Linked DNA regions of Rhinolophus ferrumequinum. The protein of the gene in region 1 interacts with the protein of each later gene in a biochemical or structural test. Links are inferred from orthologs where the notes say so. Each region holds a gene or a part of one and is shown in the gene's direction. Other genes may lie near its edges.

Region 1 (10,746 bases):
AAACGATATGGAGGCAAGAAACCTATCAGATACAGAGTTGAAAAGACTGGTTATAAGGATGTTCAAGGAACTTAGTGAGAACTTCTACAAAGAGATAGCGAGCATAAAAAAAAGGACATACAAACCATAAAAAAAGAACCAGTCAGAAGTGAAGAATACAATAAGTGAAATGAGGAATGCACTAGACAGAATCACCAGCGGACTAGGTGGAGCAGAGGATTGAATCAGTGATTTGGAAGACAAGGTAGCAGAAAACACCCAATCAAAGCAGCAAAAAGAAAAAAAATCCAAGAAAATGAGGATAGTTTCAGAGACCTCTGGGACAACATCACGGTAACAACATTCACATTATAAGGGTACCAGAAGGAGAAGAGAGAAAGCAAGGGATTGAGAACCTTTTGAAGAAATAATGACTGAAAACTTTCGTAACCTGGTGAAGGAAATAAACATACAAGTCCAGGAAGCATAGAGTCCCAAACAAGATGAACCCAAACAGGCCCACACCAAGACACATTATAATTAAAATGGCAAAGGTTAAAGACAAAGAGAGAATCCTAAAAGCAGCAAGAGAAAGGCAACTACCATGTTTCCCCGAAAATAAGACCTAGCTGGACAATAAGCTCTAATGCGTCTTTTGGAGCAAAAATTAATATAAGATCTGGTCTTATTTTACTATAAGACCAGATATTATATAATGTAACATAATATAATGTAATATAATATAATATAATATAATATAATATAATATAATATAATATAAGGTCTTTTACTAATTTTTGCTCCAAAAGACTCATTAGAGCTGATTGTCCAGCTGGGTCTTATTTTTGGGGAAACAGGGTATGATCAAGGATCCTGCTTGGTGAGATGTGTAGGGTACTATTCTGTCCCGCTCTTTGCCCTCCTGGTTGATTCTGGGCTTGGATGGAGGAATGAAATCTTTGCCTGCTTTGGGAGAAGAGGAGCCAAGGTGGAGATAGAACACGATAGTCCAGGATGAACAGGTATAATGAACCCTACTCGTCTCAAGTTTTATAGTGAAGGTCCCAGGATATACGCCCGGAAGGGTGTGGCTTGCAGAACATGGCACTGCGTTCTTGCCAGATACTTCTCTTGAGCTCTGACCCACACAAATTCTGACTCTCACCACCAGAGGGAACCCCAAACTCAGTATGATTTTGAAGGTTGGGGAGGTGTTGTCTTCCAAGTTTTGAACAACCCTGTACCCCTCACAATATCCTATTTTTCACCTAAAATTTTTCCTCACACGTTTAAATGGCTGCAAAGGATGTAACTCCAGGTTATTGCAAATATTGATATATTTAAAAAACAAAACTGTTATGTGACTCTTTGTATTCAGTGATACCTAAATACCATACCAATTTGATACACACCATTTAAAAATACATAAATAAGTTCTTCTTTAACCATTCCTTTCTCTTCATAAACTTGTCTTACCATCCACTTCCCTCACCTAATTTTATCCTAATATATGTTATGTTTGGAAGTCTTTTATGGATTATTCTTATCATACTTCTCAACAAAAATACAAATTGAAATTTAAGGAAATTTTATATCCTATGAACAAAAGTCTCTAAGTACTGAAGAGTTTCTTCTGGTTAGGGTTATCATCGCCATTATTAGTAATGTATATTTGATTAAAGCAATATAAATATGTTGCCAGTTTTGATAAATAATTGTTAAACTAAAAAAAGTAAAATTTTATTGGAAATCCATCTCTTAATGAGGTAAATGGCATTGTTTTTATTTTCCAATCAGTTTATTTATCTCTCTGCTGGAATAAGACACATAATTAACATCAATTCTGTTTCCTTCTTTTTTTGTTATAGACACTGGTACTAAGAAACTTTTTCATATAGATTAGTAGAAGGGAACGGAAGGGGTTTTTTTAAAGCAAGGTCACAAAATTGTTTGAACTCTTGAGTTATATGCCAGAAATCTCACAGTGGTCCATCTTTTGTAACTATTTTCAATGATCTATCAGCTGACAATATGATCAATTCTTACTGTCCTTCCGTGGTTATGTGGGGTTCCCATAGCATTAATATCGTCTTCCCTGAGTATTTATGCCATCAGTCTGTGGCCCACCTCCACTGTGAGTTTGTTCCTTCAGTCTGGGAAGAAACACTTCACACCATACGAACAGTGTATGCTGCACTCTTTTTAGGTTTTAGGCAATAAGTTTTATTTAGAAAACTGGGATAGTGGACATATCTGATTTTATCTTTTAATTGTCAGGCACAATACATGATTTATAATTTTCTGGAGTTAAGTTTAACAAAAGTAAATTATTCTAGTACCTTCTATCAGAAGGTTCTAAAACCACAAGCCTACAGCAATGATTAGTGACTTTCTTGCCTCCGTGTTCACCTTACTTTTCATTCACCCTTAAACTTAAAATTACAAAATGAATATTGTATATAAAATTTTTTTTAACATTGAAAATGGGTTAAACAATAAGACACAGATTATCCTGAACTTAATTCAATAGTATTGATACCATGGTTTGATTTACTTCATCATCTCTGTCCTTATGTCTTTATCTTTTCAGAGTCAGCATATCACCTACCCATCTACTGAGAGACAGATGAATGTAGGTACTTGAGTTAAATCTTTGGGACCAGAATATGTCAGAGATTCAAAACTAGGAAACAGAATTTGAGGACTACCTGTTTCCAGAAAGATTCTGCCAGAGTCATAGGTGAGCAGACCAAGCCCTTTCTGATAGTACCAGAGATGTAATCTCCCCGCTCACATTTCCTGGGAATCAGAGTAACTCTCTCATCTGACCTTTTCATAACTTCCTTCAGCTAATATCATATTCAAGGGTGATTGAAATTATATATTTCCCATCAGGTGTAAACAAATTTCCCTCTCTACCTGCTTGTTTCCTCTGTTCCTGCCATGTTCTTCTAGTGCAGCCAAGATGCCAAATAAAATGACTGAGTCTCCAAATACGGTTATCGGTGAAACTGAAAGCGTGTCAGACTGAAAGTGTTAGTCATCATTCAAATTCCCCCAAAATTCCAGTTTATAACCACTCCCCAGAAATTCCCATGTATAAATAGAGACATCAAGAATGAATTTCTTTTCTTTTTAAATCCACACCCCTCATTTCTAAAAAATGAGTTTACCACACAATGCCACCCATGGCAGGTCCACTGTTCTGATCAAAGCAACCATAAATAAAGCTGAAAAGCCAGAGCTTCCTGTTACTTTTCACTTTTCTACTAAGAATTGATAACATTCAGCATTAAGCTTCACCGTCATGCAAAGGTTGTTTAAGGATTTTCTGATTTTACTCAGGAGTTCCTTGATTCCACAAAACCTATAGCAACAAACACACAAACACAAATTGGGAAGAATTCTTCACCTCAAATAACTGAGGTTGAAGCCACTAAATGTCAGTCGTAGGAACAACAGAAAGAAGGCAAATTAATAAAATACAGCAAGAATAACAAAAGTTGAATTATTGGGTCAAAGAGAATATGCATTTTGATTTTGATAGACCCTGCCAGATATCCCTCCGAGGTGTTGTACCAATTTGTCGTTTCACCAGGAATTTATGAGTCGCTATTTCCACACAACCTTGCCATCATAGCATGTTATCAATTTTTTTCCAGTCTGATAGGTAAAAAGTGGTATCTGGTGTAGTTTTAATTTATATTTATCTCATTATGAGTGAGGTTAAGTAATTTTTCATATATTTGTGAACCATATTTCCTTTTCAGGGAATCATATTTTCATACCCTTTGTCCAGTTTTCTATTTTGGTCTCTTATCAAATTGTAAGAGCTCTTTATATATTAAAGATATTTGTCTTTGATGTGAATTGACAATAATTTCCCCCATTGGGCCATTTATTTGTCTTTTGCCTTGACTAAGAAGTTGATTTGGCCCAAGATAAAGCATTTTCATTTCAAAGATTATGTGTTTATGTACCCAAAGGAGCCTATTGAGACAGACTCTTATTTGGAAAGACAGAAATCTACCAGCTTTGTAGGCACTACTAGGCCAGTGGGCAATGCCTGCAAGTCCCAGATGAGGAAAAGGGAACTGAAATTCCTGTGCAGTGTGTGCAGAGTCCTTTCCGAGATGGGCAGGGAACACTGGCAGACACGGCATGTTTGGTAACACATTTCTCTTCCTTAATATGGATTTAGGTGTACATTCCGCCTAAGGCTTTCCATCAGAGAATGGAAGGGCACTAGGAGGAGGAGTCCTGCCTCCCCTCTCCTGGTGGAGGGTGTGAGGGGGTATGCAAAGCCTGGGTCAGACTATCTGCCTTAGGGCCCCCTGGTGTTATTCTAGACTCAATATGTCCATATTTGGAAATGTACTGCTGGGGCTAATCGTGTTCTGGGGGTTGTCCCGGTGTAGTGAGAGGGACAGACCCTGACCCGAGACTTTATCCACAGCGCCCCGTTGAGATAACACTCTGCCTGCGTGCACCGACCTATGCCCTCAGGTCGCACCCCATGACAGTGCTAGAGCAGGTCCAAGGATGGGCTAACAGCCTCATCCCAGCAAACTTTCTGGGGTCTGAGACGGACTCTTTCTAGCTTCCATTCTCAGTCCACCTTCCCGAGGCCGATCTAACCATCATCTCGCAAAGAGAGTTCTGCCAGGACCTGTGCTCAACCACCTGGGCTCTGGCCCTGTTCTCAGTGCATTTCTCAAATTGCACTTAGTTGTTCTGCATACTGTCTATTTTCCTCCACTGGACACACGGACACAGCCCGAACCACAGGTTTATTTGTATTTACCACAGCACGGGGCAGAGTGCTTCCGAAGTACCGCTTCGGATCTCCATCGATCTCGTCGTGGAGAGTGTGATGGATACGAGGTTTGCAGGGCCGGCATCGGGCAGCGAAGCTCAGGGCCAGGAGCAGGGAAGTTCGGGTGAAGTCACCAAACTTCCCCCTGAGAGGCGGCGGTGGTGGGTGATGGAGGGGGATAAAACCCAGAGGTTTAGGGGGGACAACGCATTTGGTCCGGCTTAGACGGAGGGGCGGGTGAGGGGTAGGGACCCTGCTGCAGGAGGTCCAGACCCAACCTCTGGGTCTTCCTGCAACGTGCTCTGGCCTCTTTCAAGGCTTTTGGAGAAACGAAGCCAGGCTCAATTTCCTCTGAAGGTGGGCAAACTGGGCCTGGCCAGCGGTTCCGCGGCGACACAGCCCCGGCTCCCGCGGTCTCCACCTCCCTCAATCCAGCCAGGTCCTCGCCCTGGCCCCGCCCGCCCTGGCCCCGCCCACAACCCTCCCCCGCTCGGTTAGCCCCGCCCACAGCCTGCCCAGGACCCCCGCCCAAGGACCGCCCCCGTATTAGCCCCGTTCATAAGCCTTCTTCCCGGTCGCGCGGGGGCGGCGGCGGGGCGGGGCCAGCCTCACCCGGAATGAAAACAAACGGCGGCCGCTGCCGCATCCGGGCACTCGGCGGGTCGCAGCGAGCACTGTGGTGGCGAGGTGAGGCGACAGCGGCCAAGCGTCCAGTCCTGGACTCGGGGTCTCAGCGGCGCGGCTTGGCGACCTCCGTCCCTGCCGCGATCGCGACGCCTCCCCCTCCCGAATCAGGTGCTGCCGCAGCGGCGGGCGGTGGGCGCCCTGCGCGGAGGCCCGGCCGGGACCGGGACCGGGACCGGGACCGGGACCGGGACCGCGACCGGGACCGCGACCGGGACCGCGACCGGGACCGCGACCGGGGGTTGCAGGTTGGGGCTTCGGGACGCGCCGGCGGTTCGCGGGGCTCTAGGTTTGCGCTGGGCTGGGCGGGGGGTGGTGAGGTATTAAAAAAAAATGCTGTTTTCGAGGGGGAGACAAATATATGTATACATTAAAATTAATTAGCCACACAAAAGCTTGAATCATAACGCAGTTATTCCACATGTTCCCTTTGGGATTTATTTGCAATCAAAGCCTGATTTTCTTTGCTGTTTAATGAGAGAACACGTTTGATTTTCTCCAACCTCGACGATCTGATTCTGTATTTCTCACCTTCCCTTACTCTTGTTTGTTACTACAAGAATCTTTTACTCCGCCTGAGAAAAAATTTAATGTATTTTGAATATATGTGTTTGAGGGGCTCTGGGTAAAGGTTGCGTAGATCAATTTATTTCAAAAGTGAAAGTGAAAATTTTCAAGGCGCGGTTTATGGTTTATAACGTTTCACTTTGAGTTTGGAGCGGTGGTTAGTGGATTTCTCCTTTTTGGGGGCTGTACGTGGAACATTGTATGGCACGCACAAAACTTTCATTTCTCCAGTTAAAACCGAAAACTGATCTTTTAAACCTTTTTTTCCTTTTGATTTGATTTAAAAATCTGTATGTTCAATTATTGTGTTATCTCTAACTGGAGTTTTGTTAAGTTTCACAACAGTGGTTTCATCTTTGGTTAAACATTAAGTGGTGCAGCCGGTAGAGCCTCCTTGCTAGTTATTAATATTTGCCCGGTGGGTGGAGTGAGGGACACACTGGGTGTATGAAACCTTTTGGGCCTTCTGTTGGTAGTTTCTTGGAGGGGATGGCAGAGGGCTGTGCATTCAGCCTTCCAAAGCTTTGCTCCAGTAAGCAGCCGGTGAAATGTCCCCCGCCCCCCATGATATTTTATGCAGAATTTCTGAAGATTTATGAGTAGGGAATTAACTTTGAGTGGTGGTCGTGTAAGTGATGTGTGTTTGAGAAGCTAATACCATCAGGACTAATACGTTTTTCTGTGTGAGAAGCAGTTCTCTAGTGCTGAAAGTCTAAGGTTCTTTTGTAGGTTGCCTGTTGGCACACAACCCCCGCCTTGAACGTATTTATTTCTTCCTTTCCTCCTCCTGTCCTGTTTATCCTCTTTCTCTCTCAAACTGATATAAAATAGATTAGAACTGTCTTTTAAAATACTAATTTATGGAATACACTTAAGTTTTCAAACTTGATTAAAAAATCAGCTGATTGGGTTTGGGGGAGTGTGGAATAGAGGCCCCGAAGAGAAAAAAGAAAGTTACTTCTCTAGGTTACCTTAACTCATATATTTTTCACTCTCTAGAATTTGTCTTCATCCTTCAGGATCTAATAACTTTTTACTCTTCTTACCGCTTGTCTGATTAGGCTGCACTACCCCTTTCAGCTGTTTCATACCCCAGGCAGCCTCGCCCACCCCTTTGAATTGCTCTGCTACTGAGGGCTGCGTAGCCAGCTCTGATGCCGGCAGGTGTTTCTTTGGGTGAGAGCAGTTAGTTACACACAGGACAGAGAAGCAGCAAGGGGTTTTGTGACGGAATGCAGAGTCGGATGTTGTAGGCAGCCGTCCCAGTGCTAGTGGGGTGCTGCCTAATTTTGTGACCTTGTCGGAGTCATTTTACAAACCTGGGGCCTGCGTTTTATCAGCTGTAAAATGATGAGCCAACCAATCTGTTATATATGTAGATCTGCTGTTGTGCTGTTGTCGTAAATATCACGCAATACTTTTCTAGTATTGTCAATACTAATTAATTAAAAACATTCAGATATAGGGAATATCTGGTATTGATAGTTCACGGCTCAACTAACTTATCTTTATGTTTTCCTACCAGGATAGTTAGTCTTTTGTTTCATGTTAAACTAGCCAAAAGATGAGAGACTTTATAAGCTCTGTGTTGTGTCTTATGAAAGTTCACTACTTTAGGAATTCATCTTTCTCTTATCTTTTCTCTTAGATCATAGAATAACAGATTAAGAAATAGAAAAGTGTGATAACCTTGCTACATATTAGCAACTTTGAAATACATATTTTAATGTACATACAATATATAATTGAATATATAATATATATTTCAGTATGTATGTTATACACAGAGGGTGCCGAAAAAAATGTATACACATTTTAAGAAAGGAAAACACTGTTAAACTTCTAATACTCAATATATACCGATAACGAAAAATGAATACAAGTCACATTTGAGTTCTGCAATTATAAGAGGTGCTCAAAGTGGTTACCATCAGTGTCCAGACACTTCTGATTATGGCGAACTACTACTTGAGCAACGTTGACCAAAGTGTCCACTTGTATACATTTTTTTGGCCTCCCCCGGTATATATTTTAGAGACATCTAGAGCTAGTTAAAACCTAATCTAAAAGTAATTGAGATTAAACTGGAGTGGGAAGAGTGTAGGGGACCTCTGCTTACTCTATAAAACACATCAACGTATTAGGTAGTTGTAAGACACTTTGAAAATGTGGTGTGGGTTATCATGTTGTGTTGTTTTGCTTTCAAGAATGGAGCAAAAGAAATATCTCCAAGCAAAACTGACCCAGTTTTTAAGGGAAGACAGAATTCAACTTTGGAAACCTCCATATACAGATGAAAATAAAGAAGCTAGTTTGGCATTGACGGTATTTTTCTTTTAAGATATAAATAATTAGCAGTGTTGTGTCTCCTTGGTGTCGACATAAGAATGTCCAAACTTGTAGAAATGTTTTCTGTTTTTTTTCCCCTCCAGTGGAGTTGTTCAGTTTGCTATTCCTTAAAGTAATTTTTTATATATTACAGTCACATAAGCGATAGCCCACCTTTCTATTCCCCCCTAGGATAATCCCAGTTATTTTCACTTTTTCTGTTGGGTCTGTTTTCCTACCCTTTTTTTGTTTTTATTTTTCCCTGGATCCTCTCTAACCTCTATACCTATTAAGATGTCAAACCAGTCTGGATTTCGCTGTAATAGGGGCGACCACTTGTCATCAGTTTTTGCCTTAGAGTCCTGCATGGACTGTTCTGTATTTTGCCACCCCCAGCTTTTTTTGAGTTGGCGCTACATTGATCAGTGTTTGCTGATATTTCTTCATAGGACCTCGCTAAGAAGTACGCGGACAAGCTAAAATGTCATGGAAATGAAGTAGAAAAGATACTAGAAGAAATACGTTGCAAAGCAATCGAGCGTGGCACAAGAAATGAAAATTTTAAGACAAAAGGAATTGCCACGATTGAGGTATTTCTACCTCGACAGCGAAGAAAAGTGAGTAATTTTCTCAAATTTACGTAGGTTCTAATGCTTAGTTAACTTAGTGATGTGATTGACTAAATTAAGATTTTTTTTTTAAAGCAACAGTCTGAAGTTACTTTCTTTATCTTATTTTTGAATAGGATAGGAACACCCTGTTGGAGACCCGATTGCACGTTAGTGGCAAAGAACTGAGGTCTAAGTAAGTACCTGTGTGCCCGGTGCCCCGGGTCCTGTTCCATTGGCTCGTTGGATCCTGTGGCCAGCCTCAAGAAGACAGAGGGCAGGTGTTATTCTCCTCACTTTAGGGAAGGGAAAATTGAGGCTTTGAGGCTGCAGGACTTACTCAGGCTCACACTGGTAGTTAAGTGCAAGTGAGAACTCGAAACTGGCACCACATTTCTTCCTGTCCTGGCACAACTTGAGTCATTGTCACAAATTATGATTTTGCAACCAGTACTAGTGATTTAGAATTTTTGGTGGGAACTCAGAGTCCACCACTTAACAGGTACTTGCTACATGTTTGAATTAATGAATGAGTGATAGAAATAGGAGACAGCCTGGTGTTCACCACATCATTAGCTTTGAACTTGCTTCCTCAGTGCACTAACAGCTTGCTGGGATGATCAGCAAAGTGTTTTAGCCGATTTCAGGCAGTTGGCTGATCTGCAAAAAGAAAAAATACCTGCCTGTCACACACTAGTGAAATTCTAACTTTTGAGTCTTGGTTGGTTATTCCATCCACTGGTATATTTTTGAATGACAAGTCTTTTCAGCACCTCCAGGGCTAGCCAAGCCCGGGTTTCTGAAGCTGATTTTTCTCACTTTCTTCTTTGGTCTACATCGGGGCTGTTAGGGTTGGATTCAGGAGGCATCATTCATTCAACCTGCATGAGCAGGAGATTGTGTGGAACAGCCACCTACTATGGGTTCCTCCCAGGAGACCGTGGAAGATAGAGAATGTACTTTCTCCTGACATGCATCTAGGGCTCACCTGTTCAAATGGATGTGCCACACCAGTGGTCTCCACTTGAGGAGGAAACAAGTAGTATAACAGTTTGAAAAGGAACATATCTCTTGCGCAGTTTCAAGTAACCATCTTGTAAGCTGGCTTTATCGTGAAGTGATGTTTGTAAGTCAGTAAATTGAAATAGTGCGTGTTTCTGAGTAAAACGTATAAAATAGCTATCATGACTAAAATCTTAATGGAAAATAACAAATTTGATTACCTACAGTTTTCACTGGTTTGTTTTACAGAATAGCTGAAACCTTTGGATTTCAAGAAAATTATATCAAAATTATCATAAATAAGAAACAACTTCAACTAGGTATGTTATGGCAAACTATGCAGCATTTTAAAATCAAGAAATAATGACTTTGTAACTTTTTTTCTCTTTATTCACAAATTTCTAGTGATTTTATTGCATGTATAATCCAAAAACAATTATTTTAGAGTTTACTAAAATAAAAATGTAAAGCAGAAAAACTTTTCTAATAAATATCTGTCTGCTAGTAGGGAAGAAAGACACTATCAGTCTGACAAAAGGTTACACAATGGAAGTGTTGGGTGTGCTGAGAGGAAGATTGGGGTTCCAGAACATTCTCCCTGAGGGAGACGAGCTAAAGCTGAGTGAGGACGGGAAGGCTGTGGTGGGGAGTATTCCAGACTGAGAGAGCCTCATGGTGGAGCCACGTGATGGAAATTGAAAGAACTGAGAAAGGGTCCAGGGTGGCCGAGTGTGGACAGTGAGGGAGGGCAACTCTGTTTAA
Region 2 (11,096 bases), on another chromosome or scaffold:
AGGTTTAAAGTGTACATTTCTTTAATACATCATGTATATATCATGTTGTGTGCTCACCACCCAGAGTCAATTCTCCCCCCATCACCATATATTTGCCCCCTTTTATCCTCTTCTACCACCTCCCCTCCCCCTTTACCCTCTGGTAACCACTAAACTGTTGTCTGTGTCTATGTTGTTTGTCTTGTTAGGATGGCTCCTTTAATCAAGGGTCACATCCCCTCTAGTTGCTCCTTGTTTTTTTGCACACTTCCTACTGACTTCAAACAGTTGATTTTTAAAAATATGTGTTTCATTTTTACAGAAATGTATATATATTTCACTTTTATCATTGTTATTTGTAGGAAAGTTAGTCTAATGTAGGCTATTCTCTTTGTTGTAAATTCTCAGGTTCTTTTATTTTTTTCCCTCTATTTCAGACAACAGTGTAGAACAGTGAATTGTAGAATCCTAAGGTTGGAAGAGCACTTGGGACATTGTTTAATCTTCATTTGATGCACAAAAATTCCTTTATAACTCCCAATCTTCGAATCATCTCAGGCCATTTTTTTTCCCATTCCGTTTTTTCACACGTTACATTTTTTGAGGTTATTCTGTGTTAAAAGCTGCCTGATTTTTACATCCACTTTCTGGACTTAATTCTGTAGACTAGAATTGCCTAACCACATAAGAAATCTCATTTAATCATTACAACAGGCATGTGATGTAGACACTGTTTTTCCTATTGTATGATAAACCACTCATTGTTCTCTACTAGTAGTTTGCCCCTCATCCATACTAGTTCAGTTAGGTTATGCCTACTCAGAGTGAAGACTGTATTTCACTACCTCCTTTGCAGCTTGATGTATCCGTGAGATGCTAGGAAGTGAGATGTAAGAGAAATTTTGTCTGGCTGTTTCCTGGAGCCTTTGTTAAAATGGAGTTGAAGCCCTCTTTTTGACCATCTTCTTTCATCACTTCTGCCATCCTGATTCCTGGAATTGTGTAATGGGTGGAGCACTAGCTACCATTCTGGACCACAAAAATGTGGGTCGGATCCTAAGTCTAGCAGAGTTCAAAGGAGCCTGGCCCTGAGTTTTTATGGAGCAGAACTACATACTATACCTGAATCTTCTACCTCTTGATTTTGATGTGGAGTAAAGTATACTTTTATCTTTTTAAAGCCACATATTTTTAGGTGTCTGCTAATGGTAGTACAGCCTAATCCTAAAGATATTTCCAACTTTCAGAAGAAGTACTAAACTTCAGGGCAGTTAAATAACTTACATGAGAAGTAGGAAGCAGAGCTTGGCCTGACTTTTGCAAAGTGGGCTTGGGCTACTGGCCCACACACCATCCTACAGCTATGAGTGCATTAGTTATTCCATTTATTGTTTTGGCTTAGACAATTTTCACACATTGCTATCAGACCCAGAACTAGGCTCAGTGATTGTCCCTGAGTTACATTTATTTTTGTTTTGGTTAGGTTTGGCATCTGATTTTAGCTAATTTTAGATTCCATTGCTTTCCAATAATATTATAGTATAGATTATCAATCTTTCCAAGTTTTGTGGTATGTAAAATATTAGTGGATGGTCCGTTTTCAGGAGTAGGGAAAGCACAGGGACACAATAGTTAACATATTATAACTACTAGCTCTTCATTGTCATTTGACTGTGCCACCCACCTGCCACCAACACCCAAAAACATTTAAGGTATAATAATAATAATGATAATAATAATAATAATAATAAAAACAGCATGTGAGCAAAAGGACTGCAATCTGAAAGGTGAAGATTCAGGTAGCAACCCAAATTGCACTTTAAAGAGAACAAAAAAAGTCAGGGTTTATAAAGCGAAAAACTGCAACTGTGGTTTTCATGTAGGTCTTCCATGCAAATGAAGGGATCTGGATGGGTTAACAGGGTTTGGTTAGTACAGTATGCAAGTGTGAAAAGGCTCTTTGCAAATGGTCTGATTTCCATGCTAGGGAAGAAGTCCAGGAAGTGGTTTTGTGGTTAGCTTAAAAGTTCAAAATTTCATGAGTGGGATGTACATAAGACAGACTTCTTCCCATCTCCTTGACATAAATGATTCACACTTGGCAACTAGTGATGATCACTGAAACTGGATCTCATTGGTGGGTATTTTATAGCCAGTTCTGTCCTGAGCCAATGACAGCATAAAACAGATACATACACCTTTCCACACTCTCTATCTATCCATCTATCTATCTGACTAACTATTAAATAAGTAAAACATAACAGGACGAAAAACTAAAAAAAATAAATAACAAAAATAAGACAAGGCATGTGATGAAAAGTAAGGCTCTTTCCCATTCTTGTTACTCAGACATTCAGTGTCCCTCCCCAGGAGTAACATTTCCTCCCAGAGATATCATATGCATATTTCAGTGTTTGTATATATATATTTTTTATTTTCTAAACACTAGAATATTATACTATACTTTGAAACTTGTTTTTTTTCAGTTAATTTCACTATCTACACCTTCATTTATTTAGTTCCTTATTGATAAATGTTGTTTTCATTTTTTGTTATAAATAATGCCACCTGAATTATCTTGTACGTAGCTTATTTCATACATATATGGGTATATTAATTGAATAAATTCCTAATGTGGCTCTTTGGTCTCGGCCACAGAAGTGTGATGATGAAGTTCATCCTACGGAAAGCATTGCAATGTGATGCACACATTATGCCGCTGCTGTGGCTCTAAGGCGTACCACCTTCAGAAGTCTACCCGCGGCAAATGTGGCTACGCTGCCAAGCGGAAGAGAGAGTATAACTGGAATGCCAAGGCTAAAAGATGAAATACCACTGGGACTGGTCGAATGAGATACCTGAAAATTGTATACAGCAGATTCAGGCACGGATTCCATGAAAGAACAACACCTAAACCCAAAAGGGCAGCTGTTGCAGCATCCAGTTCCTCTTAAGGATTTCAACGATTAGTTGCACAAAAATTTTTTGTATTAAAAAAAAAATTCCTAACGTGGAATTGTTTGGTTATCGGGTATGTAGATGAAAATTTTTTAAATTATATTTTTGTCATAAACTTTGATATTGCAAATGAATATATATAACTTACATAAACTCTAAAGCATAATTGTGTCAAAATGAACACTCATTTTTTTACATTTTTATAACGGCTTTTTTGCATACATACGTATATGGTCCTAAACACTATATTGTTCAGTTTTGCTTGTGTTTGTTTCTGTTTAGAACATTTATGTTGTAGACCATAACATTACCTTTAATAGAGTGAATATGTTACATCTCTAAATTAAATAATAAGTAACGTACATTAGTACCATTCAATAAATTGCTTTCACCAAACATTAATTTCTCATAGTTAAACTTTAGACTCTGAAAATGACAAGAGATGTCAGAGGGTTCCTAAATGCCTCTTTCCCTGTTGAAAATCTTCAAGTAACTCGTATCTGCATTTAGACTAGGTTTCATTTATTTTAAAAAGTGAACATACTCTGAATTTGAAAGTAGCGTATCTCTTTCCCTCTGTAGTTTTGCATGTGTTGAAGACTTATAAAGCGTGTCGTACTTTATGTAGTCTTCTTGGTCTTGTTTTTTTTCATTCAATAGGTTGCTAGTATATTGATCCATATTGTTGCGTGTAGGTATAATCCATCCATTTTTACTGCTAACGATACTCTACAATTCAGTTATGTGTTTCCCCATTACTAAAGGGTATTTGAGTTGCTTTAGTTTGGCATGTCCATTTTGAATCTGGATAGGTATTTTAGATTGTCCTTTGAGAGTGGACAAGGTTTTATTGTTTTTATGTTTGTTTTCCTTTCCAACCTTCAATAAATGAGAATTCACAGTAACTTTTTGATTGGGTTTGGCTGGCATTGCTGAAGCAATATTCTAGATCTCATAGTAATTTTACAAACTCTTTCATTGACATTATTAGAGAGATGCGAAAGGGGCCTCTGCTCCAGGGAGGACTCAACTGGGGGCAGTGACTAGTCCAATAGCACCCTATCACTAGGGCCGAGTTGGGAGGTTTGTAGCTATCTGAGACATTTGTTTAATAACCTGGCAATATCTCCATAGCGTGATATTTGATCTTGGCTGGTTTCCTGGATTTGATAAAAAGGCAAATGAAAAGAGATCTTTCAGTTCTGCCTCTGAAACAATTTCCTATCACGACCCAGAGGGGAAAACAGATTGATAATGTGGTAAGAAGCAAGGAAGAGGTCAGGTTCCAAGAAGAAATCCTACCTGTGGTCAGTTAAGGGGCACCAGATGTCTTGGACATTCCTCACCCTGGCTTTGGGCTGGGAGGGAATTTCACATAGGAAAGGAGGAGAGAGAGGAGAGGGAAGATCAGAGTCCAGATTTTTTATTTTGTTACTTGAAAGGACACTGTTTCTCAGAATCCAGGTCCTCTCTGGGTAGGGAATCCCCTGAATTATTTTTTCCTGGAGGGATCACAGGCTTGCCCTTGGAGTAACTCTATGCTGGAAATCCCCAGCTCCAGTGGGCGGTTCCTCTATTTGCACGTGGAGTTGCATGGCATTCGCACTTTGAACACTCACAGTCCTGGGGGAGCAGTTCTCATCTATGTTTGCAGCAGGCTGTGACCTCCCTCCAGGCTCTGGCCCTGCAATCACAGGCTCTTTGCTCACCTCTGCCAAATAGGGATATACAGGCTGGTCCAGTGTGGGTGTGCCACCCAGGGATACACCTGCGTACATATAGGCCCTGAAACTCCCTTTGCTCTCATTCATCCTAAGGCCCCTCGTACCCTCTGCTTTCCTTTGGCTCTCTGTATTCCTTCCCCCAACTAGTTCGCTTAGCAACTACTACTAAAACGACTGTGGGTGAGTTAGCTTCTTTCTAATCAATAAGGATACTGACATTTACCTCATTAGAATGCTAGAACAGTTAATGAGTTTCCATTTAATAATGTCTTGTGCAATTCCTGAAATATAATAAATACTCACTAAACAGTTTCCATTTTTATTCACTTACTTATTCATGCATTCATTTAGTAAATATTTATTATTTACAGTGCCAGACAGCTTGTCCAAGTAGTGCTGAAGATACAAGTTAATGGAGACACAATCCTGACCCTCAAGATTCCTACTCTTTAATGGGGGTAAAGGACAAGTAAGCAGATAATCCTATTGCTGGAGAAAAGTGCTCCGAGAGGCTTCCAGAGAGAGTATGAAAAGACAGAAGAGCTGCTACTTACATTGCATACTCTTATAAATTTCATGGAGTTGGGGGCAGAGTTGGAGGGAAAGGTGTGCTCAGTGACCTGGTGGCAGAGAGCTTGGCATATTCAAGGGTATGCAGGGAGTTCAGGGAATCATGCATGGAAGCCCCTAGATGTACAGCTCTGCAGCTCAGATCTGGGCTGTAAGTATAGATCTGAGGGCATCAACAGACATATACTATTACTGGGAAATGTCATTCCTGGGCTCTCCTTCCTGGAGCTTCTGGCTAAGGGTCTCTGCTTCCCCTGAGAATGAACTGGCCCCAAGATGGTGTAGGCTACTGAGGCAAGAATGGAAAACAAGGAAAAGGTACAAGAAGAGAGTGATTTAATTCTAAACAGCTTTAACCATCTACTCTCTTTCTTCTTTCCCAGAAATGACGTGAAGATCTGAGAGCGTAAGGGGCGCAGATAAAATTTGAAATGTGAAAGCAGTTTACTTAAGTCAGGGCACATACAGCTTTTACTTTCTCTTTTCCCAGGCCCATCCCCCATCCCTTTCCTGCTGCAGGGCTTCCGGTTTATCACCCTCAACCTGATATGACATTTTCTGCCTAGTTACTGGTGATGTTTCAGAATACCCAAATCCTATTGGACAGTGGGTGCAGACCCGTCCTTTTCTGCTGTGCTGCAGCCAAAGGTCCCAATCTTGGTTTCTAAACACGGGACAGTAGGAACCTGGAGAGGTATCTGAAAGGAGAATAGAAGGAACAAAGGTTTCCTGCCTATTCCAACAGCACACTTCCCCCTTCATACTCATCCTGTGTGTTTAAAGAAGCATGCCTAACCCCACAAAATGCGTTCAAATAATAATCAGCTTTTCCAATTTGATTAACTGATTATCTAATAAGAGTTTCACATAGAAGAACATAGTTCAGGATAGGCTTTTTGAAATATTGGAATATGCTCTTGGATCCCATTACTTTACGTAGACACTTCTGTGAATCCAAGTTCTGCCAGATGGGAACCCCTGGAATAATACGGGATCATCTGTGATCCATCCGTGAGTGAAGGCCTCAGTGAAAACGCAGCAAACAAAGGTGATAACTTGGCATTTTTACGGGCTTTTTACTTTGAAAAATCTGGAGAACTTTTAATAAGTGCTTTTTTAAATGGGTTTTTTGGCAATGTCCTGAGAGTTGGGGATAGGGAAGTGATTAGTCTGGAATAGTAGGAGGATCAAGAGTGACTGAGTGAATTCCCTGAAGAAGCACAGCTCATGCACTGCTTTGTCCCCGTCCAGATCTCAGGAGCTGGGGAGTGAGCAGCACCTGTAGGTATGTCTGAGATCACGGTAGTGAGGAGTATCCGGGAGTGAAGCTGGGCAAACAGAGGCACTGTGGTGTGAGGGTGAGTGTGTGATTGTTTTAGCGTGTGGACAGTGGGAGTCAGCCTTTGATTGTTGGCTTTGGAATGTTCTCAAGTCATGGTGGATTCAGTTTGCAGTTCCCAGGACAGGATAGGAACAGTGATAGAGAGCTCAAGACCCGGGAATCGAAAGGTCTTTGTAAAGGAGGTTTTATAAACAAAGGTTTGTGAGGCTGGAAGACACTTAGGAATTCTTTCCACTCATCTCATTTGATAAACCAGAAAACCAATATCTAAAATGGTGGACAGACTTGCCCAAGGTAATATAGTAAGTGGCTCCCGTCAGTGGGACTGATCCAGGGTTATTTATCCTATGTTTTCTCAAGTCATGCTTCACACATCCTGCCAGGATAGTGTGAACAGGCTGCTCACTCCACATCAACCCTGACTGTCCTCTCCTGGGCGGCCCTGCTCTCAGGAAAAAACCTGACTGATGAGGGCTCTTAAAAGCAGTAGGAGAAGACCACCAAGCATCAAAGGTCTTTAAGCCATTGAGGCCCAAGGCTGCAGGCTGGTCAGTCATAGCCAGGACAGGAAGTGGTGGGTTGTTGACCGGGGAAAAATTCTCAACAGAGAAGGACCATCCCATATTTGGAAGAAGGAGGGCAAATGGATTGGCTGACAGGAGAAGCGCTTGATCAGAAAGTTTGTTTTGTTTTTTTGACTCACTCCAGCGAAAGTGAAAGAAAATCCATGAGTCCATGCAAGAACAAAGAGCACAGGAAGCTAGACACAGGCAGGGGATTTCCAGCTCAGCCTCCTTGTATATAAGCGGGCGCAGTTCTCCTCATCCTCTGTTTTCTTGGTCTCTGGTTCCTGCTGCTCCCTTCAGTGCAGAGATGCCTTCGACCCTCTGTGTAAGTTGGGATTTGACAATGGGGGTAGGGAAAGAGAAAGTACCTCGAAGGGATGGGGGTCTCAGGAATGGATGAGGGAGTGCCCAGGGAGACATGGTGGCTTCTTGAGGGGATGAGATAGGCATTGATATCTACAGAATGTGAGGGAACATTCTGTGAAGAGAAGCTGGTCATTTGGCTCCTGAGTTCTCTTTTGGGTCAGATCTTGGACCGGCTGTTGTGAGGGATCAATGGTAGGAAGTGGGAGTACGCTTTGTGCTCAACAGGCCTGGCAAGACTCGAAACTGGAAATATTGTCTTAAGCCTTTTTCCTCATCCTGTTTAGGGGCTCATGACTTAAACTTGAACTTCCTTCTCCTCCCAAAAGGGGCGTTCACACAACTCATTTATCCTGAGTTGTTAATGACCTGACACATTACCTTATATAAGAATATAAACACTATGTAGAGAACCTGGAATGAAGGCAATGCTTAGCGCAGGAGTGACAGTCCAGTGAAGAAATGTCTGTGACATGTAAATTGGGAAGATATGTTTGAATGGAGCATGAGGGAGGTCCTGCCAGGCTTTCAAGTGACAACATAGGGGTTAGCTTCTCCATTTTTCAGATTACTGAAGTAAAATTTAGATATAGTCCTTACCTTCTGTGAGTGAGGCCCTGTTTTAATTAAAGGACTAAATCGTATTCTACAATAGATAGATATAAAAACAGGGGAAATACAGAAGAACAAGTAACATTGAACACAGTGTCACTGTACTATGTATTAGGTTGGTGCAAAAGTAATTGTGGTTTTTGCAATTTTTTTTTTTAATTTAAACGGCAATTACTTTTGCACCAACCTAATAAGTTATTATTATAAAGCAGTGAGACATTAAAACAGAAACAAACAGTACAGAGAACATGTTTGTTTCTGACGTGGACATGGAGGGCAGTCCCGCGAGTTTCCCCTTAGGTGCCAAATCTTGGAAATTATCTTTGGGATTTATTTTTAGAATCTGGCGTACACCTTTGAGTACTCTGTAGTTGTATTTAATTTTTGACATTTGACAAAGTTTATCCAGGTAGGAGGCAGGCAAATATGGTGGGAAATTATTAATGATGTTTTGGGGATGAATGAGAGGTATGGTTATAAGGAATAAGACTGCCTTTCTTGTCTGTGTTATAACCTGGAAATTCAAAAAGAGAAGCTCCAAGAGAGGGAGGGACACAGCTTGTTAAAAATCAGCCAGAGGACCAGACAGGCAGTGAAGTGCAGGAGAAACTAAGGAGGGGGAACAAGGGGTACACAACGGGGCAGGCATTCCTGGTAACTGTCTCTTGGCCCTCATTGTCCAGGTGAATGTCCATTCTCAGGAATGGGGACCAATGACCTTCACTGCCAACTTGCATGACAGAGTGAAGAAGATCCAGGAACATGTGCGGTCTGAGACCAAGGTTCCTGTGCAGGACCAGGTCCTCCAGCTGGGCTCGAAGACCCTAAAGCCCCAGAGAAAGCTATCATCTTATGGCATTGACAAGGAGACCACCATCCACCTCACCCTGAAGGTGGTGAGGCCCAGTGATGAGGAGCTGCCCCTGTTTCTGGTGGAGTCAGGTGATGAGGGGCAGAGGCACCTCCTCCAGGTGCGAAGGTCCAGTTCAGTGCCCGAGGTGAAAAAGATGATTGAGACCAAAACTGCTATAACCCCTGAGAAACAGATTGTGACTTGCAATGGAAAGAGACTGGAAGATGGGAAGATCATGGCAGATTATAACATCAGAACGGGCCATTTACTCTTCTTGACACCCTACTGCATTGGAGGGTGACCACCCTGCGGATGGGGTGATCTCTGGAGCAAAGGAGCTTATTTCCTTTTCGCTCTTACTCACCAACCACAACCTTTGATGATTTCTCAAAATTATTGAGAAAGAGGTATATAGAAAGAGTAGATTTAGAGTGGGGAGTCAGACTGCAGAATACTTTTTAACTCTATGATTCTTTGATTCTAACATAATTGATTAAGTGGCAGGATTGTGTATATTACTGAAAACAGAAAATAAAAATTTAAGGCACATTAGAGATAGCATTCAAAGCCAGCTTGCAATTCAGTCCTTCCTTGGTTTCCTCTGACATATAGAAAAACTCCTATTTCCTTTCTCATCCGACAACATAGGAAGTTTTAGGCTGGGATCCACGTTGTACTAATTTCTGTGTTTCCATCTATGTTTAAACCAGTGCTTCATCTATCGTATCACATGGTAATTGTTGAACCAAATTGAATTTCTCCTTATAGAGAACAATGAAACGGTTTACTACGAAGTGAATTAATTACATGATTACAATCTAGTCAATAAAGAATTTAGAAATTCAATTAAACTACTTTCCCTCGCCTTATTTAAAGCTGGTTGGTATGAAATGAAACCTGGCACCGTGCCCCCTCTTACTTGTCCCATACCCAGTGAAAATTGTTCTCATTTCTGGGGATTATGGTAGGCATGGAAATATATTTTCCCTGGGAATCTAGAGATTTGTGTCTGTAGTGGGGGATTTTGGGGGGCAGATTGCTTCAGAAGAGAAAGGACTTTCTGAAAGGTGGGGGATTGTGGACCAGTGTCTGTGCTGCCTGCCTTAGGGCCTGGCAGGTCTTCTGTAAGTTGGGGGCATCTGTTTGGGTGAGGGAGGTGGGGCTTGGTGTCTGGATTGACCCCAACACTCTGCCCAGGTTCTGGCTGACAGAGCTTTTTCCTTTCTGCTTCCTTTAGCACCAGGTTCTTTCTTGGGAACTCGAGTCGCTTTCTCCATCTCACTCCCTTCAATTACTTCTGTGTCTTACTGTCCCTCTCTCATGTCCCCTTACTGGTCACAGACACGTTTTTCTCACAAGCTGAGACATGTCCACCTTCTTCTCCACTAGTCTAGTCCCTTCGTATCTTTAAAACTTGCCAAGAACCACCTCCTTGAAGAAGAGTTTCCCAACTGAACCCCACCCAGCACAAAGCACGCGGATGGGCGTTCCTCCTTCAACTTACGGGTCAAGTGCTCTGCGGTGGGCCCAAGTCCTCTGACTAGGTGGGCATTAGGTTGGGACGATTTCCCGATATCAGAGACCGTGGCTCCTTTTCCTGGATGGGGTCTCCTGTGAGGTAGAGTCTTGTCAATTTGGGAGACTCCTGGTGGCAGACACCGTGGAGACACAAGAACAGGCAGCCGGCTGTCAGGTGGGGACCCACGCGTGTCCACCGCTTTCCTCCGGTCCCCGCTGGACCGCATGCCCCACACGGCGCGGGCCACGGCGCCACTGGAGTCCAGGATGGCCGCGGACGGCACCAGCGGAGGAGCACGCGGCGGCGATCATCTAGCGCTCGCTGGCGTCTCGGCAGCCGCCGCCGCCACAGGCCAGCTGGAGCTGCGCGGGCAGCTCGCTGACGAAGCGATCCGCCTGGCGGGCGAGCCGAGCGCCAGCGCCAGAAGCGCCAGAAGCGGCGGCGCCGGCCAGCGCCCCCCAGAGCTGCGTCGAGCCGCGTCCGGGTCGCGCTGCGGGCGGCACACGGCCGTGGCGCCACCCAGCGCCGGCACCCGCAGGCCGCACCGCGCCGAGCCCGGCGCCAGCGACGCGCTCCGCGGGGCCTCGCAGCCGCAGGGCCGGGGCCGCGC

The links.
Region 2: the proteins of NUB1 (region 1) and UBD form a complex in vitro, tested with the Homo sapiens proteins (6 studies listed by BioGRID, with this or other methods). The link is inferred for Rhinolophus ferrumequinum from reciprocal best matches to the Homo sapiens genes NUB1 and UBD.

Annotation. Positions count from the first base shown.
Region 1 is NC_046309.1:3,627,481-3,638,226, reverse strand, and holds the start of NUB1 (NEDD8 ultimate buster 1), read left to right. Parts: upstream 1-5,397; 5' UTR 5,398-5,412; coding exon 5,413-5,496; exon of another isoform or gene 5,497-5,590; intron 5,591-8,253; exon of another isoform or gene 8,254-8,254; coding exon of another isoform or gene 8,255-8,260; coding exon 8,261-8,371; intron 8,372-8,823; coding exon 8,824-8,991; intron 8,992-9,119; coding exon 9,120-9,178; intron 9,179-10,233; coding exon 10,234-10,304; intron 10,305-10,746. UniProt on the Homo sapiens protein: Specific down-regulator of the NEDD8 conjugation system. Recruits NEDD8, UBD, and their conjugates to the proteasome for degradation. Isoform 1 promotes the degradation of NEDD8 more efficiently than isoform 2.
Region 2 is NC_046286.1:537,988-549,083, reverse strand, and holds UBD (ubiquitin D), read left to right. Parts: upstream 1-7,309; 5' UTR 7,310-7,446; coding exon 7,447-7,464; intron 7,465-8,797; coding exon 8,798-9,268; 3' UTR 9,269-9,414; downstream 9,415-11,096. UniProt on the Homo sapiens protein: Ubiquitin-like protein modifier which can be covalently attached to target proteins and subsequently leads to their degradation by the 26S proteasome, in a NUB1-dependent manner.